5 linked regions of the Nothobranchius furzeri genome follow. The protein of the gene in region 4 purifies or fractionates together with the protein of the main gene of each other region. This does not show direct contact. Links are inferred from orthologs where the notes say so. Each region holds a gene or a part of one and is shown on either strand. Other genes may lie near its edges.

The links.
Region 1: the proteins of derl1 (region 4) and tmem129 purify together in Homo sapiens (affinity purification with western blotting; 3 studies listed by BioGRID). This does not show direct contact. The link is inferred for Nothobranchius furzeri from reciprocal best matches to the Homo sapiens genes DERL1 and TMEM129.
Region 2: the proteins of derl1 (region 4) and rnf5 purify together in Homo sapiens (affinity purification with western blotting; 4 studies listed by BioGRID and IntAct, with this or other methods). This does not show direct contact. The link is inferred for Nothobranchius furzeri from reciprocal best matches to the Homo sapiens genes DERL1 and RNF5.
Region 3: the proteins of derl1 (region 4) and faf2 purify together in Homo sapiens (affinity purification with western blotting; 4 studies listed by BioGRID and IntAct, with this or other methods). This does not show direct contact. The link is inferred for Nothobranchius furzeri from reciprocal best matches to the Homo sapiens genes DERL1 and FAF2.
Region 5: the proteins of derl1 (region 4) and amfra purify together in Homo sapiens (affinity purification with western blotting; 4 studies listed by BioGRID, with this or other methods). This does not show direct contact. The link is inferred for Nothobranchius furzeri from reciprocal best matches to the Homo sapiens genes DERL1 and AMFR.

Annotation. Positions count from the first base shown.
Region 1 is NC_091741.1:108,954,622-108,959,003, forward strand, and holds the start of tmem129 (E3 ubiquitin-protein ligase TM129), read left to right. Parts: upstream 1-1,485; 5' UTR 1,486-1,630; coding exon 1,631-1,856; intron 1,857-1,948; coding exon 1,949-2,007; intron 2,008-4,180; coding exon 4,181-4,382. Other genes in the region: igbp1 (immunoglobulin-binding protein 1), read right to left, coding at 365-829.
Region 2 is NC_091759.1:8,560,268-8,564,382, forward strand, and holds the start of rnf5 (E3 ubiquitin-protein ligase RNF5), read right to left. Parts: upstream 2,932-4,115; 5' UTR 2,602-2,931; coding exon 2,396-2,601; intron 240-2,395; coding exon 221-239; intron 77-220; coding exon 1-76. UniProt on the Homo sapiens protein: Membrane-bound E3 ubiquitin-protein ligase that mediates ubiquitination of target proteins. May function together with E2 ubiquitin-conjugating enzymes UBE2D1/UBCH5A and UBE2D2/UBC4.
Region 3 is NC_091742.1:44,986,929-44,990,214, reverse strand, and holds the end of faf2 (FAS-associated factor 2), read left to right. Parts: intron 1-334; coding exon 335-426; intron 427-1,600; coding exon 1,601-1,778; intron 1,779-1,868; coding exon 1,869-2,040; intron 2,041-2,122; coding exon 2,123-2,266; intron 2,267-2,372; coding exon 2,373-2,555; 3' UTR 2,556-2,777; downstream 2,778-3,286. UniProt on the Homo sapiens protein: Plays an important role in endoplasmic reticulum-associated degradation (ERAD) that mediates ubiquitin-dependent degradation of misfolded endoplasmic reticulum proteins.
Region 4 is NC_091745.1:56,656,232-56,660,372, reverse strand, and holds the start of derl1 (derlin-1), read left to right. Parts: upstream 1-1,182; 5' UTR 1,183-1,337; coding exon 1,338-1,490; intron 1,491-2,226; coding exon 2,227-2,338; intron 2,339-2,418; coding exon 2,419-2,483; intron 2,484-3,044; coding exon 3,045-3,071; intron 3,072-3,166; coding exon 3,167-3,262; intron 3,263-3,537; coding exon 3,538-3,590; intron 3,591-3,682; coding exon 3,683-3,793; intron 3,794-3,970; coding exon 3,971-4,097; 3' UTR 4,098-4,141. UniProt on the Homo sapiens protein: Functional component of endoplasmic reticulum-associated degradation (ERAD) for misfolded lumenal proteins. Forms homotetramers which encircle a large channel traversing the endoplasmic reticulum (ER) membrane.
Region 5 is NC_091749.1:54,414,969-54,418,648, forward strand, and holds part of amfra (E3 ubiquitin-protein ligase AMFR), read left to right. Parts: intron 1-1,198; coding exon 1,199-1,331; intron 1,332-1,646; coding exon 1,647-1,780; intron 1,781-1,882; coding exon 1,883-1,993; intron 1,994-2,081; coding exon 2,082-2,278; intron 2,279-2,350; coding exon 2,351-2,454; intron 2,455-3,680. UniProt on the Homo sapiens protein: E3 ubiquitin-protein ligase that mediates the polyubiquitination of lysine and cysteine residues on target proteins, such as CD3D, CYP3A4, CFTR, INSIG1, SOAT2/ACAT2 and APOB for proteasomal degradation.

The sequences.
Region 1 (4,382 bases), on a different chromosome or scaffold from region 4:
TGCGTTCCATTTTAACTGCATCGCGAAACTCCAGTTAGACCCAACAGAACCACGTTTCGGGCTGCACAGCGGCACCGTGGTTAGAGCTGTTGTCTTGCAGCAAGGCGGTCCTGGGTTCGCTAACAGGTCTGGGATCTTTCTGCATGGAGTTAGCATGTTCTCCCTGTGCATGCGTGGGTTCTCTACGGGTACTCCGGCTTCCTCCCGCAGTCCAAAAACATGACTGTTAGGTTGACTAGTCTGTCTAAATTGCCCTTAGGTGTGGGTGTGGGTGGGTGTGTGTGTGTGCACCAGCCCCTCCGCGACCCTACATGGACAAGCGGGTTCAGACAATGGATGGATGGAGAACCACGTTTCCACTCACCGTGGCGTTAGAGGACCCGGGGGCCGACACTTCTTCCGGACTGGAAGAGGACTTATGAGGCATCTCGAACTGGGATACGTTGTAATCACGGCACCTCTGGAGGAAGTCCATGTAGTACACCCGGGCAGCCTGGACTGCCTCTAGCCGTTTCTCCCGGCTGGTCCTCTTCATGTGGAGGGCTCCTAACAAGGCGGGAAGCAGCAGGTACTTCAGGTCTGCCGTAGCGACCTCCTCCAAGTCCTCATTCCGGCTGAACAGGGCTAGCTGAGCGACCATCCTGGACGCGTCCTCCAGCATCCGAATCCCGCTTCTTACGCTTTCTTGGACGCTGGTGGAGGCGACGGGCTCGTTGGTTCTGTCCACCTCCTCAAATATTTTCCAACCGCTCTCCAGTAAGTCCGACAGCTTCAGAACATCCAAGTCTACTGGTGGCCCCGAGCCTGGACGGGCATCGCTGTCCGCCATCTTGTTCGTGTTTACTTCTGCTGCTGCGTCACCGCCTCCGTTCTTCTTCTTCTTCTTTTTTTTTTAAGGTGGATCCAGTTTTTAAATTGTAATTTTGTGCACTTTTGCCCCCTGTAGTATGGTTGAAATATTAATTTAATCTTTATTCAAAATTCTGTTTTATACAATAATAAATGGTCCTTTTGAAAAAAAAAAATTCTTGAGTGATTTTGTAATTTTTGATGTACATCTGAAATTGAGTTTTTTAAATGTACGAGTGTAAATAAAACATGCTCTGCTGTCTCATCTTAGTTATCACTGTCTGTGATTGATACTTGTTTTGGTTAAAGTCTTTTCTGCTCACCAGTTTCTTTAGGTTTTATTTGAATATAATTTAATTTTTACACCCTTTGACCTTTCCTTTTATGATGTGAACACAAACATAAACAACAATTAGCTACATTCAAAGGGACAGCTGGGGAGAGAATCATGATCATAAATGATAAAGAACGGCAGAGTCAAAACTATAAATGTTAGCCATCATGATGGTGACCTTGGTTGTCGTGGTTCAACTCCACCAGCAGATGTCGCTATAACTGAAAAGCATAGTTGCTTCATGAAGCCTTACTAGCATACCGACATGAGTAACTGACGTTCACTTGCTCCAGCACGCTTAACTGGAAGAGTTCAACCCTGGACACTGTATATAAATAAACTATAAAAAGCGTATATATGATATATTTGTTCCGTCGGACACAATACAATAGCTAACCCTCTCGCGAAAGGGTCACGTGGTAAAAGACGTGTGCGGAAGTGGAGTAGATGGCGCAGGGGCAGAATGACGAGCCCAGAGTTATCCTTTACTTTAGCGTATGTTACGTTCGCGATCTGCATCATTTTCACCCCCGACGAGTTTCGGTCCGCCGGGCTGACCGTCCAGAATGTCTTCTCGTCCTGGCTGGGCAGCGAGGACGTGGACTTCCTCCGTTACCACCTGAGAAGGATCAGCGTCACCATCCTGGTCCAGTCCGCGCTGCCTCTAGGTCAGGTAACCCCCTGGTGCAGCGGCTCAGGTGTGAGCTGAGGAGAGCGGGTTGTTCTGGACGTCTGTGCTGGGCTCATGTTGTGTGTCTTCTGAAGGTTACTACTTGGGGATGTGCGTCGCTGCTCCCGAGAAACACCTCAGCTCCTTCTACCAGGTCGGTCCTCATGTTCTCCAGACCTGAAGATCTTTAGTTGTTAACTGGTGTTTGAGTTCAAATGCTGATCTGGTAGCAGCACCACAGAGGAGTGAATTCTTCAGGATTATCAAGGCACCATTAGTTGTTTTCTTGAGCCATCACTCCAACCGCCTCCCCCCTTGTGTGAAGCAGCTACAGACCCCGGAGGCGTAATTTGCATTTGAGCCTGAATCCGCAGACTCCGGGTCTGATATCCAAGGAAGATCCTGCTTTTCTCACCTCTGATTGGCTAGAAGGCAGGGAAGGTTCTAGACTAACCTTAGTTGGGGGGGCCAGGCTGGAGCCCGCTGCTCATTTAGAAGCACATTAATAAGAAGACACCATGTTGCTGTCATTAAACACTAAAAATTGTAATTAAAGTCCATATTTGTAATAACAGCAATTTAGTTACAGTTGTTTTAGATTTTCTACATAGAACTATTTTACAAAAACACTTTGGAATCCGCCTCAGTGACAACATGAAAATCTCAGCATCCCTCATCAGCTTCCAATAACTTCAAGCTTTGATTCCTCATCTTGCATTAAGCTAAATTATCAAAATGATTTAATAAATAAATAAAATAAATATCAACTCATTAATGCTTATAATCTGCTCTCAACAGGGGTGGCACGGGGGGGTCCAAGCTTGCTGTAGGGGTGGCACTGACCCACACTTGAAACCCCATAGAACCGCCCCTGCTAGACGGGCTCTGCTTTGATTGGCTATTTCGTTTAGCAGGAAACCGTCTTCCTTCGCTAAGGGCCATGAGATACTTGCTGTTTAACCACGAGAAAGCATGTTTTAAAATGGCTGCCACACGTTATTTGCGTTGATTTGAAGCATCGTTTGTGCACGTCCCCCAAAATTAATGCGACACATCCAAACGCTGCAATATACGAGTAACCAGTAGGTGGAGTTGACAAAACAAGCAAGACAGACTTGCCATGGTGTCTCCGTCTCTGGTTCTGAGGTCTTGCACACCATCTACGGTACTGCTGCAGTTTTTTTGGTCTTTTTCTGTCGTGATCTCAAAATTAACCAGTTAGTGAGCTCTTTTACTGACACCATGCTCATTTTGGTTGTGCCCACAAACCCGGCTCTCTATCCAGTCTGAGTTCTCTAGTGTGCCCCTAGTGGAACACTCCGGTACTACATGCAACGCAGTGCCACGTAGCAGCAGGTGTGTGAACAAAGACGCAGCCTGCACCAACGCCAGGTTAAACAGCCAGGCCTAGTGCAGACTGTCCTCCTGCCACCAACACAACAGCTGTTTGGGGGAGTTTTGTAAAGAAAATGCGAACATGGCACTATAAAAACCATTCTGTCCTGTTTTGCTAAAATAGTTTTTCCATTTCTTTTACTTAAAAACTCTGAAAAACATTAAATGTGAACTTGTCATCAATCTTATTGCATTTATCACACTTTTGGACTTACTTTATAATGACTCAAGCATTGAGGTTATCTTGTTAAAGCAGAGTACAGTGATCCCTCGCTACTTCGCGGTTCGTTCATCGCGGATTTTTTCTTTGGAGCCTTATTCAAGGGAAATTCGCTGATTCGCATTATTTTTCTATGCGAAATATCAAGAAATTCCTGTTCTTTTTCATCAATTTCTTCATAAAATGCACTTTTTGTAATAAAACTATAAAAAAAACAAGTTAAAAAACATTTTTTTCTTGAGTTTTACCCACAAAAAGAGAATGTGATCATACGATAATTCAATATAGTACTGTACTGTAAATATGGTGTCCCTACTTCGCGGATTTTCACCTATCGCTGCCAGGTCTGGAACGCATCTACCACGATAAACGAGGGATCACTATACATAGGATAAACCGTGTGTGTGTGTGTGTGTGTGTGTGTGTGTGTGTGTGTGTGTGTGTGTGTGTGTGTGTGAAATAAATTAAAACTGCCCTGTTTTGCGCAGCTGTGTGCAGCAGGTCTGTTTCACTTCCAGAATGATGAAAACTGGTGAAAAATAAGTAAATCATTATCAGCCTTGAATTAAATTTCGATTAAATTTAGTCAAACACAATCAGACGACGGGAGACGTGCGGTAACATGCAAACGCCCTTAAGCTATTTCAGTGAAGACCTAAGATAGCCTTTAGTAATAGTAACCACAACAGATACATTTATCTCATTTCACCAGGTGAGTCACAGCTGGAGAGCTTTTCTGCTTTTCGCGGTGTGCTTGCATCTGGCCAGCTGTGCTGTGGTCATCTACTGGTCCTGCTGCCAGTGGCACGGCCATCCCATCAGACGGGCCCTGCAGGCTCATGTGAGGCCTCCTCACTCCAGATGGGGCTCTGTGGCTTCCAGCATCAACACGGAGTTTAGAAGAATAGACAAGT
Region 2 (4,115 bases), on a different chromosome or scaffold from region 4:
GCGGGATGACTTTCTCTCTGCTGATTCCTGCCTTACAGACGGGACACTGCTGCCGGCTGGGACGCGTCTCCAACCACTGGGGGCAGCAGACAGACACGTTACAACACTTAAGATAAAAAAACAAAACAACAGACATTATTTAATGTGGATTAAAGGAGATTGGGTGAGCCTGATCTGATTAAATCAGCCTGTAAAAAGATGAGAGAGAGGAAGTACTTACTTGGTGAAGACAGGGCCAGCTGTAGAGAGAGAGAGACGGGATTATTTTACATTTTCACAGCAGCTCAGATCTGTGACATTTCCTGAGCAGATTCATTTTTTTGGGATTAGATTAGTCTTGAAAAACCTCCTAAAACCAGTACTGCTCCCATTCGTTTGTTTTAATTGGCTCCATCTGTCATCAAAGGTTGGAGAGGCCAACCTGCTAATGCGATGTGGGAATAATGTTGGTGCTCCATGATTTTGGAAGAAATTCCCAACACACACACACACACATACACACCCACACCCACAGATGTGTTGAAGAGCATGTCCACAAAGTCCCCAGGTAGCATAACGCTCCCTCCTAAGGAAGGTGTTTTACTCAACCCTCCCGCCATCAATCCTGCTCTATGGTCAACTTTCCTCGCAGGGTCACCCGTTAGGACAGTGGGAGGGTTAAAAAGTCCTTGGTTTGTTTACTGACTTTTATCATTTCCAAATAAGGCAGGGATTTGGATTAGTTAATCCTGTATTCACGACTGCGAAGTACTCAAACCGAGTTATTTAAATGACGTCATGTGAAAACAACAGAAACCAGCTGAGTCACATGACCTGATGGGTGTGTGTGTGTGCTCCTGTAAACACAAAACAGCTGATCAAAGTCCAAAGGCAACAGACACAGAAACGGGTTAAATCGACCAGAAAAAGTGAATAAAGATGTGATTTCTGCAACCTGAATTGACATTTTAGTCGACACAAACTAACATTATCTGCTAAACTCATTTGTTTTATGATTTCAGAACCATTTGAACACAAAGACCAATTAAGAGCAACAATTACAGGGACTTCTAACACATTTGAACTTTAACCCCCTGTGTGTTTTAATTAACTGTACTAATGCGCTGCTGTAAGATTAATCTGAAGTTGCAGCAGATTAACTGATGTCAGCTCTTGTCCTTCTTGCTGAAAAGTTTCATCACACTGCACTTGAGTCCCAGGAGCAGAAGGACCGACGTAACATAGCAACTGCATCGCTCACAAATGTGCAGCAGGAAATTATCCCAATGACCAAAAAATGATCAACATAATACAGAACATCTAAATTCCAGATGTCCAGAGTCCAGAAACGGGTTTTCTAGCCAAAGACTTAGAAACATTAACATTTAGATAAACATGAGGGAATTTACGGCTCAACTATTCCCCCCCCCCCCTTAGACAAAGTCCAAAGTCAAAGAGTGCATGAAATTATGCATAAATAAGACGTGTGCATAAAATAGTTGCCAGATTTTTAGCTCTACAAGTCTCTACAAGTTTGTGGTTACTTCGGTTTGGAAAATGATTCAAACACAACTGTTGTGCACACGCTTTAGAGGCAAAACTGCAATGTCACCCAGAAAGGATGCTTAAAAGTCCAGATTTAGGAAAATGCATAATAATAACTGCAGTCAAACACACACACACTTCTGATCACAGTGACCCTACAGTTGACCTCAATCCTACTTGTTGGCTATAAACTCCCACTAGCCTTAGCTTAAGAGATCATTAGTGCACACAGTTCGTGAATCACGCGCGCGCGCGCGCACACACACACACACACACACACACACACACACACACACACACACACACACACACACACACACACCTGTGATTGTGTGTACATTTTCAACAAGTTTTCAAGGTCAGGTTTTGTGCAAGTTTCTGTGACACTGATAGAAGAAAGCACTAAAAGCAGCTTTTAGGTACAGAAAAGATGCATCCTAAAAAGTAACAATTTTATGAGATTTTTAGATTTGCTGGCATGTCAGATGTTCCAAAATAAAAAAAAAAACAATGATCTCACCAAAAAAAAGCCTGAATTTTTATTGTAAACGTGACATAATTAAGTGATTTTAGTCAAACTCAGAATGAACTGATGAAAAAGTGGTTTGTTTTTGTGTCTCGCAGAGCGGGGCGGAACTAAATCAGATAACATGATACATTCATCCTTTCACACCAGGAGTACATACATTCATCCTTTCACACCAGGAGCCACTAAAACCAGCTGGCAGTAAACGGACACCCAGCACAGGAACAGTGAGCCATTTTGGCCGCTGTCGCCTCGGATCAGACGGGACGTCGCGGGGCGTGTCTCTGCCATCGACTACATATCGGTAAACCGAGGCCAAACAAACGCATGAAAACCGTTTCATACCAGAACAAGTGTCCGCACATGCTGATGACAGCGTCCCTGGCTGTGTCCAAACAAATGTTGCACTCGAACGAGGCTCGGTCCCGTTGGCTGTCGCCGTTGCCGCCTCCATCCGGTCCGTCTCGGTCGTTGCTGCTCTCTCCAGCCGGGAACCCTTCTTTGCTGGCCGGCCCACCGTCACTCGAGAAGCGGGGATTCGTGGCCGCCATGTTTACTGACCTGGTTTAAGAGCGTAACACACCGAGCCAACTCAACCCAACAGGGCCGGCCCGAGCTAACGTAAACCGCTAGTCAGAGGTAGCTGCTGCTGCTGCTACAAAGGACCTTTGGACGGAGCGGACCAGCCCCGGTGGCGCTCCCGTTAAAAGCGCCCGACTCCGTTTCCCCTGACTCCGTAGGCCGGGGGCGGGCATTAGACACGAGGAAAGGGGCGTGGCCATAACAAAAGCAAGTTCATATTTTAATAGTACATTCGACACCATTATTTTGAAAGAACGTAAAACAATCTAATATGTAATGACTCTTGTTTTATTTTTGTGCAGACAGATTTTTTTTCTTACAGCTTTTTATAAAGAAGTTTTTTTTCTTTCTGCCTCTTCTTTCTTTCCTATTCATTTTCTCTCTCCCTTTCCTCATATTTTTTTTTCTAATTTAAACATAATTTTTAAAAAAATCTTTATATCTTAATTATTTGTTTTTGTGAAGCGCCTTATGATTTTTATTTTGAGAGGTGCTACATAAAAGATGTTTTCTTTCTTCCTTCTTTTAGTAATTGTTCCCTACCAACACAGGTCTGTTGCAACAACGTAGTCACAACGTATTTTCTGACACCTTGTCATGCGAGTCCAGTATTGTAGCTTGGCTGTCTGGTAATAGACCCTTTTACTACCTACGTCATCAAAAGTTGCGCGTGCAGCCTGGCAACGAGAGTGAAGGCTTCCTCATTCATACTCAATACTAAAACAGCGTTTTAAACCCTTTGTTTTGAAGTTCTGAGCACATAAAAATGTCGGGTTGTTGCGTGTATGGATGCCAGAATCGCTTCTCTTCAAGCACTGGACTGAAACTTTACAGAATTCCAAAGGGAGCACATCCATTTCAACAAAATCAGAGGCGTCTGTGGCTAGGAAGGACTTCTGCCTTCAAGATGCAAAACTCAGAGTCTATGTGGTGATATTTTACTTTCTGTACGTGGCCACAGACAACATAGTTGTATGCATCTAACGATTTGTATGCCCGTAGCTTCTCACGTGTGTACTTACTGGGCCTCTCCACTAAAAACGTATATATATCGGGCCACTGGATATCTGGCCACGCACCTACATCTTCCACCCATTCCGTAATGCCTCAGGGATCCGGGAGTCTGTTGCGATTCGTTAAAGTGAGTTTAATAATATAACATTCAAGATTTGCCGGTGATAACCCCGCAGCGTAGCTTGATAAAGCCTGACACAACGCCATTCTCTGTTGCCAAGCTGCGCGCGCCTTCTCGCTGACGTCATATTGTTTACAAACAGTAAAAGGGTCTATTTAGGAAGTGTTATCCTGTCAAGGAATTAATTGAGCTCGGCATCTGATGGGTTTGTCTGTGGTGAGTACAAAGTTTGGTAAAAGTTTTTGAAAGTGTTGTTTATTCTTTCAGGATCATAAACTATATTCGATGTTGCAGGAACGTCGTATGTTACGTAGTAGCGACTTCCAAAGTGAAGTTCCGCTACGACGT
Region 3 (3,286 bases), on a different chromosome or scaffold from region 4:
AGAACGTGTCGGCTAGTAGAAGCTTACGTTAGCGTTAGCAACTACATCACACAGCAGAACTCCAAGTTTGAGTTGAGTTGCAAAGTGGTAAAGTCGCGTTGCTGTTAGCCAATCAGAGGCGAGATGTCCGAATATCAGGAAGTAAGACTCCAGATCCTGTCGTCTGAAGTTCTCTGATCTGGTCATTCTCTAGATTCTGAAACAGAGTGTGACGTACGAGGCCTTCATTCCTGCTAGAGACCTCTGCAGATGCACTGATTAATGAGTGAACCACACCTTAACTGTTAGATGAGGTGAACATATTCATCCTTTCCTCTGATCTGTGGCTCCTCAGCTCCACGTTATGTACAGAAGAGGTCATAACCTTCCTCAACACACGGATGCTCTTCTGGGCATGTTCCACCAGCAAGCCCGAGGGCTACCGAGGTGTGTATGCCCGTTCATTCGTTCATCTGTTATCAGTGTGACCCCGGCTTTCCACAGCAGCCGTCAGCAGCACGTTACTGCAGCAGCACGTCATAGCTGCTGATAGGAACGGCTGTGGTCAACAGAACCTTTTCCACAGGAGCCGTCAGCAGCTGTCAGCAGCACGAGTCGGCCGCGTCTCAGGAGCAGCATGTCGCGGCCTTTACGCGCCGGTTCTATTTCCTACGCGCGACGCCTCTGAAACGGGTCAAGTTCGACATTTTTGGGGAAGGAAAGACAGGAAATCGGACGCGGAAATGGAGAGAAGCTCCCGAAATTTTCAGAATAAAGAACGTACTGCCTTCCGGTCGCTTTACTTTAAAAAAGGTTACTAACTGTGCGGCCCCGTGAGAAGTTATCACCTAGCTAGCGGTCTCCTTTGTTTTTCAGGTCCGTATCGGCGATTATAAAACGGACAGAATATAAAAACACAAACATTTTGGAGCCATGTTGTAGTTTTCTCCTGCTTGTTGTTGTGTTTACTGACGAAGTCACTCGTGTGACTTCGTGCCCTGTCGGTGACAGCTGCTCCTCTGCTGCGTCGCGTCTCGTGGGAAGGGCCAAGCAGCAGCTAGACGTGCTGCTGCAGTAACGTGCTGCTGACGGCTCCCGTGGAAACCTGGGGTAAGTCTGGCTGCTCTGAAAACAACAAACACTCTGATATCACTGGTAAACAACATGTTGAGACCAGGGCTGGGCAATAAATCCACTCTTACCGAGATAATTGTTCCCGTCTCAGGAATGAGATGAGAACATGAAATATGTGTGTGAGCTGGCAACATTCATGTCCTGTAAGAAGCTGCACCACCTTCAGTGGCATACCAGTGTGACTCAACCTGGAACACGTGACATCTAGTGGACAACTGTTGTTCCTGCACACACCTGTAGTTCTAGTCTGTTCATCGCTAGCGAGGTGAAATCCTCTATATGTCGTGATATTAGTTGTAGGCCATGCCGCCCAGCCCTAGTTCAGACCCATGTGGAGTCCCCAAAGCTAGAAGCTAGTGCTGCTTTTCTGTCCTACAGGGACTCTTCTGTTAGCTTGAGTGGCTACAAAAACATTAAGATCCGTGCAGAAGCGTGGTAATAATGGTAGTCCACTGGGCTTTTGTGTAACAATGGTTTCTATACCAAGTGTCCCAAGCGTTGCGGGAGAACACCTACCCATTCCTGGCCATGATCATGCTAAAGGACCGGAAGATGACCGTGGTGGGTCGGCTCGAGGGTCTGATTCAGCCTGAGGAGCTCATCAATCAGGTCACCTTCATCATGGATGCCAACCAGACATACCTGATGTCAGAGCGCCTTGAGCGGTACGTCAGACCAGCTGGAGTTAGTGAGACCGTCGTCACATTCTCTACAGCTGAAGTAGCAGCGAGTGAAGACTGAAGTGTTGTTTCCAGAGAGGAGAGGAACCAGACCCAGGTGCTGAGGCAGCAGCAGGATGAGGCCTACCTGGCCTCCTTACGCGCCGACCAGGAGAAGGAGAGGAAGAAAAGGGAGGAGCTGGAGCAGAAGAAGCAAGAGGAGGAAAAGGTCCGACAGAGTGCTCTTGCAGAGGAGAGGAGACGAAGAGTGAGTCTGGTCGTCTTCGTTTGTACATGGATACGTTGGTCTTCCCCTACATGTCTGATTCCTGTTGTTGTTTTCACTCCAGACACTAGAAGAGGAGAAGGAGAGGAAGTCGGAGTGCCTTCCTCCAGAACCATCTGCTGATGATCCAGAAAGTGTTAAAATAGTGTTCAAGTTGCCCAACGACACACGAGTAGAGAGGCGGTTCCTGTTCGCTCAGTCTCTGACGGTGAGCGCTGGTGTCTTTGGTCTCCTTCACACGCCTCTGGTCAATGTTTGGTTATTAGACGCTGACATGTGATGAAACATCTACATGTTTCTTCTTCCTTCCACAGGTAATCTACGACTTCCTTTTCTCTTTGAAGGAAACTCCAGAGAAGTTTCAGATCGTGACAAACTTCCCTCGCCGAGTCTTGCCCTGCCTTCCGACTGCAGAGCAGCCCAACCCCCCCACGCTGAAGGAGGCAGGACTCAGTCGCTCCGAGGTCGTTTTTGTTCAGGACCTCACGGACGACTAATAGATGACTTACCTCGTCTACATGGAGACACGTTTATCTCTGACCCACCCATGTTGTTTGGTTTGTTTTGGTAAATGGCCGTTTTACAGAAGGGATGGTTGCTATAGAAACTAACCTGGATCACTAAACCACCCTGCATCCAGTGCTCCTTCACTTGTGTTGACAGGGTTCCCATTAGCCTGCAGTCTTGAATTTTATCAAATAAATATTTCTTGAAGTGGTTCCTTGTGTGGAGAAACTGTTGTTGGTGTTAGCTAACAGTTATCCTCCTCCCAGCAGTGAGACTAAAGCTGCAGCACAACCTCCTCGTCCCACACAAGCTGTCACAACCGAGGAAGACTGGTTGTTAGTTACTCGAGGGGAGTTCCCTGCTGTTTCTCTTGGTTCATGCTTTAGCCCACAACCCCTACAGCGATTATCAAGCACAACTAGCACGGTCCAAGTCTGAAGCAGCTGTGATCGAGAGTTGAAAGGATGGGAACCCTGTTTAAATGAGCCATCACTTGTACATAAGTTAAATATTTAAATGCCCACTATTGTTTTTATTTGACTCGTCATGAAACGACCAAATGCAGGTTTGTTACTATGTAAAGCAGACTGCCTCCAGCTCATGAAGTTAAAACGTACAATATTTAACGAAGGCCACAGCTTTTACATGTGGCTCTATGTAGTTTAGTCTGCCCATAGTGTGCCTGTGGTTACTCATAGATGCCTGTTTTGCCTGTAATATC
Region 4 (4,141 bases):
ACCGAAAAACATTAAATTATCATTTTAATCATTATGATACATTCTAACATATAAAACAGGTTACGCTAGACGAATCTTCTCCAGGATAACATCTTCCTACTCTTGCTTAAAATGCTGATAATTTATTGTCCATCCATTCATTCATTTTCTTCTGCCTATCTGGGGATGGGTCATGAGGGCATTATGTTCCAGAGTCTAATTTTCAGATTAGCATGAAACATGCAAATCAAATAAACACCAGCAGATAAAGCAGATCCATCACTCATTCCTGGCTACTGGATCTGTTCCATCGAAACAGGACAGAAAAAGTACAATAATCAACAAAAAATAAAAACAAACAAACAAACCACATCAATGCAAGGCTATGCTATCAGACAAATTGCCACAGCATAAAAAGTCACCAGTACTTAACAAAAAAAATTGTAATGTGATTTTTTTTTATTTCCAAAGGTGTGAACGCATCACTTTCAAAAGGTGCATGTAAGCTCCTGAACAAGACACGCCCCTTTACTTTGTTGGCTTCTTCTGAGTGGTTTAGAATCTGCTTTGCAAATTTAACAGGAAATGATTTGAAAACATCTAGAAAGTCTCCTTAGATAATTACGGTATATCCGGTTCTCATTCTGTCCTTCAAAATAAGAGCGCTGCTGTTCAAAATGAAATAAATTACTGATGATATAAGTTAATGAGATAATGCATATGGTTTAGCAAAAACTATGTTCTGCATCAATTGTATTCCAATGAAAAGTTATTGTTTGAATCTTGACTTACGCAAAAGGTAAAAAAGAAGAATTTTTGAAAATCGTGTTCTAAAAAGACAATTTAAAAAATACCAGTATTTTTGTACACATTTAAAGAAATTTTATTTTGTTTCATTTTATTGTTGTGTCCTTTTTTTATTGAAATTGATACATTTAAAAAATGTTTGTTCACGTTTGTGTATTCAGTATTTAGCATGTCACATTGTGCCCATTTCGTTGCATCTTACCCAATTCTGTGAATTGAACCAGAATAAAGGATATACTGTATTTTTCTAACTTTTTTTTATATCATCTGTTTTTCTTTTACTATCTAGTTTCACAGGCTTTCTGAATCTCGGCCTTTAAAAAAAAGTTCCTTTTTATTTTGAAAAGCTGTACCGGAACTTTTCGTTCTGAAAGTGAGCTCTGCAAATGCAAAGCTGTGATTAGCCCTTAGCCACGTCACGTAAACTTAGCAGTGGACGAGCTAATCGTTCAAGACTAAAGACTTGTAGTTTTAAGAGGTCCTGGGTTCTTTTCAAAGTGACTTTTTTTTTACATTTCGGACTTGTAGGTTAGCAGAAGACTTTTGAGAAGATGTCGGACATCGGGAACTGGTTCAGAAGCATCCCTTTAATCACCCGGTGGTGGTTCGCTGCTTCCATTGCTTTTCCTTTGATAGGAAGACTAGGATTGGTTTATCATAGCAACCTTGTGCTTATTCCGGAGCTCGTCTTTAACAAATTTCAGGTACGCACTTCAGTGATTTGTTCATCCGTGTCGGCAAAAGGATCAGTTATCATTTTTTACTCTCTGTTTATGTATTCGGTTAGCTAGCAGGTGGCTAACCATGACAGGCCTGAATCCCGACATGGCAGGATCTGTTTTCCGGATGCTGTCTATAAAACTCAGTGCGTGTTATTCGGGTGTTATTACATAAATACTAGGTTCAGAAAGATGTTCTGAAATGTCACCAAAAAAAGAAAAAACAAACAAAAAAAAACACGGAGTTTTAATGTGACAAAATACCAGCGTTAGATGATTTGATAAAGGACAGCTATTTTGTTTTTAGTATGCTGTTCTCACGGCGTCCACAAGGCGGCGACAATGTCTTGAGTAGTGACGAAGCGTGTTGGGCATTGTCTCTGGCTGCTGGAGCTTCAATATCAGATACAGGAAAGAATGTCGGATTTTAGGCGCAGGATTTCAATTCAGTTAAAAATACTTTATTTGAAACGCTAACTGCACGTGCTTGTTTATTATTATACAGGAGATCACATAACTCATTAAACGAATTTAACACCTTAAATTAAAATGCAAATTCCATTAATAGGCAAATAGACCTTCGGCTAAAATGTTTGTGTTGATCCTGCTTTATGTAAAGATCTTCACCCTTTAATTATCCTTATTTGTAATCTACGGGGTGCTGACTGTGTCAATATCACATAGTATTTTGAGGATTAATGCTTGTTTTTATTTGTTTCAGCTCTGGAGGCCAGTCACTGCCACCTTTTATTTTCCCATCACCCCTCAAACCGGATTCCTTTATTTGGTCAACCTTTATTTTTTGTACCATTACTCCACTCGGCTGGAGACATGTAAGACCGCTGCCATCCTGTGACTACTCCTCTCTGTAGTTTAAATGTTCTCTGCATCTGATGTTTTTTGTGTTTTTCAGCTGAGTTTAATGGCAGACCTGCAGACTATGTTTTTATGCTGCTCTTTAACTGGATCTGCATTCTTGTATCCTTTAACCAGCGCCCATTTAAGCCATAAGCTGTAAGCTTTTTACAATCAGAGGTGTATGGCGTTTCCTCCTGTATTTTTTCCTCTCCTTCCTGCACCTCTTCTCTCTCTGCAGCAGTGTACAATGTCAGGGTGGCTCTGTGCCAGTGGCCCAGTGTCAGTCTACCCCTGCAGAGTGGAGAAACCTAATCTAGGTTACATGCAGCACCAGCAGTCCAGCCCACACCTTAGCTCCATGCTGCTTTGTCGGGAGTTCAGCCCTGATTGTTAGCTCCTAAGGCTTTTCATAGCTATTTCTTAGCTATAAGATTGAAGAATAACATTTATCCACAAAAATATTTGGCTTTTACTGCAGGAAGAGGTAGGAATAAATACGATATTGAAGGAGTGATGGCCCCAGATCCCTTATTCTGAAGTGGAGAAGGCAGATGTGACTGCTAGGTCCTTTAAGAGCTGAAGTGGGGATTGAAGTGGGCGACCGTCCCACGAGCAGCTGCTCTGATCCTGAAATTCCAAATGATTCCAGCGTGTTGTCCTTGACTTGGAGTGTGTGTGTAGATAACTGCGATGCTGATGAACATGCATGTGAGTTTTCTTCTGTATTTACACCAAAACATGAGTTATGGACTACTTCACTCAAAGCTACAGCTGAACTAGAGCTTTAACGTCTGTGTTCTCAGCTGCTGATGATCCCGCTGATCCTGTCCGCGCTGTACGTCTGGGCTCAGTTCAACAAAAACACCATCGTCTCCTTCTGGTTCGGAACACGTTTCAAGGTATTCTCCTCAGAACTGTAAACGGCAACATCAGGACAAACACTAGGGAGGGGTAGGGGATGGATTAAGACCTGGCATTCCCTACAGGAATCACCTGCTGCCTCAAACACCACAGATCAACACTTCTCCTTATGCTGAGAAATTAAACTTTTAGATGTTAATCAGTTAATCATTGTCTGGCCGTTGCTTCAAAATTCACACAGTAGCTCACAATTGTGGTTGCTAAGCAGCAGCAGATATCTACACCTACTGACGAGGGGTGTGCTCTGTTCTAGGCTCATTATCTACCGTGGGTCATCTTGGCCTTCAACTTTATCATCGGAGGCTCGTAAGTCTCATTTCTAACTGAATTCTGTTATGATTATCAAGCAGCTTGCTGTTATGGTGCTCCTGTGACCTTTGACCCTCCATTTTATGCAGATTTGTGAACGAGCTGACGGGGAACCTGGTGGGCCACCTTTACTTCTTCCTGATGTACAAGTATCCCATGGATCTGGGAGGACGCTCCTTCCTCTCCACACCAGAGTTCTTGTAAGACTTAGAAGGAAAAACTTCCACTTTTGATATAAATCATCACAGCTGGTGTGATTACTCCGTTCTTACTGAAGCTGTGCTTTTTACCTTCGCTTTCTGAATTGGATTCATGGATTTGTTCCTCCAGATTACCTTGAATTATATTTTTACTGAGCACCTCCCTCCCATGTGCAGGCATCGGTTCTTCCCCAATCACAGAGAAGTGTCAGGCTTTGGAGCTGTTCCGGGACGGAGGCCTGCTGCCCAGGAGCGAGGAGGAGGCCACAGCTGGGGACAGGGCTTTCGGCTCGGCGGGGAATGAGACGATTACCTCCTCTTCTAGCTTCCCCCAACAGACTGGGCTGA
Region 5 (3,680 bases), on a different chromosome or scaffold from region 4:
ACACACGGGAGGCGACCTGCGGCAGCAGTAAAGCCGTCTACGCGTTCTGTTCCATGGCGAAATTGAAACTTCCGTTGTTTTATTTGGCTGTGTCAGGTTGGAGGGAATTAAGGTTATTTAAGCGGTTCAGAGTTAATAAAGTGGTAGATATGATGTTTCACAAGGTGCTGCTAGAGTTATGTGAAATCTTACTGCTGATTTTACTATATAAAACATAATAATAATCAACTTCTCCGTCATGTTTGCTCGGAGATGTACGGAGCATCCTGTCCGCTCATTGGTCAGTGAATGAAACCTCCGTTGATTGGTCCTCGTCCGAGCGACAGCAATGAAAAGTTGAAAATGTTTCAACTTTCTGGGATTGCGTCGCTGGGTCGCCTGTGCACGACACGTGCACGAGCGCAAAATTTCACTTGCACGTCTTTCGCGTTTCGCTGAGTAGGAGGGAGACCCGCGATTATCGCTTAGTCGCGCATGTCTCACTGAAAATGAATGGAGGAGAGGCGATGCCGCCTCCCGTGTGTCGAGCCCTTAAGGTGTATAGACAGAGACCCTAAGCTACATTCTGTGACCTAAAATGCTTCGTCCAAGTTAAACAGCTTAAGGGCAATTCTCATCTGTCTTATTTGATCTCATCTGTAGACATTTATTATAATTGGGGATGTCAAATGACTAATTTTTAAATGTAATTAAACATAGGCTGTGAATTCATCAAAATTAATCACTATTTCCAAAAATGACTAAAAAATACCAAATAAAACAAAAAAAATTGAAGACTTGGAAGAGTTGTCCGACACAACGAATCGATGACGCAATTCGTTGCCAACACTTTTAATAATCGATTTTTATCGATTCGTTGTTGCAGCCCTAATCACAGTACATGATAAGATGATCACTTTTACGGAGTTCTGAAAAAGCATACATGATTTCTGAAAGGGTAAAACTCCGGAAAGATACTTTAAGGGGATCAATTTGGAGGTTAAACCACAAAATATTTCTGAGCACGGCCATGCCTGCAGCTCACGACTCCCCCAAGGGATAGGTCCAATGCGGAAAACAAATTTTGCCGGTGTGTGATGACTAATGGGACTTCAATCTTTAAATGCCAGCATCCTCACACACCAAACTGTGTATCACTTGTATTCACAAGATAAAGGTGCTTGCATGCATGCTTCTTTGTATGTGTGTTACTCCTCAGGTACTCCATCCATCTGTGGGATCTGAACCATCCAGGAACTTGGGAAAGCAAAGGCACATATGTGTATTACACAGACTTCATCATGGAGCTGTCTATGCTGTTTCTGGATCTTATGCACCACATCCACATGCTTGTAAGATCTAAAGCTGTTTCCTTATTCTGGGACATCTTTTTACATTCATGTTTTTTTTAAAGCGTTTTGTTATAGAACTCAGATTATCTGTATACACACACACACACACACATAGAATTATTAGAAAAAAAATTGAATGGTTTACATGTGCACTTGTCAGTGTTTTGATCAAATGTGAAGGATTATTTGAAGAGGCATTTGGGAGTAGAAGAGAGGAGACTCGGCTCAGTGAGCTTAGCCAGAGTATCTGAGATCTACGTCTTTATTTAGAATATTTACACAGTTTATTTTCCTCTCCAAATATGTTACTTTCAGCTTTTTGGAAACATCTGGCTTTCCATGGCGAGCTTGGTCATCTTTATGCAGCTGCGCTACCTATTCTATGAGGTCCAGCGCCGCATCCGCAGACACAAGAACTACCTACGAGTCATTAACAACATGGAGGCCAGGTAATAATACATACGTGTACAAAAATGTAGTAATACCATTGTTATTATGTGTGCTTTTGAGTCCTTGTGGGTGCCATTGATTCTTGTTCTAAATGTGTGCAGGTTTGCTGCTGCTACTCCAGACGAGCTGGCAGCCAATAACGATGACTGCGCCATCTGCTGGGACGCCATGCTTACGGCACGAAAACTTCCATGCGGTCATCTCTTTCACAAGTAAACAAGCGCTTCCTTTTTGGTAGCTTCTGTAAAACAAAGTAAAAGCTGCCTATTAGAAACGGTATGCATCCATGTGATTTTGTAGCTCTTGCTTGCGCTCCTGGCTTGAGCAAGATACGTCGTGTCCCACATGTCGAACTTCGCTAAACATCAATGGGGACGGGGTTCAGGTGAGAGGTCAGCCGCAGGGTGGTGCTATGGAGGATAACGTCGGTCCTGCTGGTGCTGCTCTGGAGGGGAGACCACACATCAACCATCACAATCACTTCTTCCACTTCGATGGTAAGTCACCCAAACCCCTAACCGCGACCCGACACGTCTCTGATGGGTTGTGATGTTTATTTATTCTTACAGGATCCCGTATTGCCAGCTGGCTGCCCAGTTTTTCAGTGGAAGTGATGCACACCACTAATATTTTGGGCATCACGCAGGCCAACAACTCTCAGCTCACAGCTATGGTAGGACCACGTTTACTCCCTCTGTGGTTTCATGTGAGATCACACAGAGATCCTGACTGAAGTTGTGTTCTTTTCTTAGTCCTTTTTTAGTTAATAAGTCATTTGTTTTTTAGAATATTTTTACAATAAATGGATTGTATTTTTGTAATAAAAGAAGTGTCAGCATCAAAGCCTCCATCAAATACACCTGATGAAGTTCATTAAACCCCACGTTAGACACTTTCAAGTTAGGAATCTGCTGTAATCTGGGATTGAATAAAACCCACAAGTATTTATTTAATCATTAGGGATGTTCCGATCACGCTGTTTTGGTCCCGACCTGAGTCCGAGTCATTTAATTTTGAGTGTCTGCCGATACCGAGTCCTGATCCGATACTTCTCAGGAAAGCATTAAAATAAGAAGAAATAAAGAAAACATCTGAGTTTTCCTTTAACTTTCACTTTTTTAAGAAGTGCATTGATTAAAAAGCGAGTTTATATTATGAATATATTTAAAAGTGGCAGCGTTGCTCATATTTCAAGTTGTTTACTCCCTCAATATGCAGCTGTGTTGAGAGATGTTTGTTCCCGTGATGGGGCAGGCATGCGGTGCCTTGGCCGTCTGGCTAACTTTTCCTGCACAACACCTGTAGCTACCGAGCAGCTTGGTCCTGCAGGAGACTTAGAAACCCCAACATTCAGCAGCCTGTTTATTTCCCTGTGGGCTGGCTCTGTGCTGTCTGAGTTTGTTGTGAACTGGGAAGGAAACAGGTCGCTTTGTTGACGCCTGAAGGGAAACCCAAATGCAAAAGTAAAGGTTTGAAGGCTGTGAATGCCCAGTATGCAGACATTACAAGTGGCTGTTACACTGCCTTCACTGTTTGGATTAAAATACCACCATATTACGGACAATAAGCAGTAGCCTGCTTGCTAACAGCTGCACCTCGGTGTCTGAATCCCTGCCTGCCGTAAAATCTTGTGACTTTATGGTGTTGTTTTCATACAAGAAACAAATAATGTTGATACAGATGAACTTGTTGAAATTAAAACCAAGTCATTGTTATTCCAATAGAAAATCTCTATTTTGAGATGAATTTAAAATATCATAATTGTTGTTTAAAATCTTTTCCTCCCAATTCCGATCCTTTTAAAATCACATGATCGGAACGTCCCTAAGTTTGACAGATATTTAGTTCTGGTTTTGTCTCGGTAGGAAAGTTTTTGTGACAATTTTAAACAATCAAACA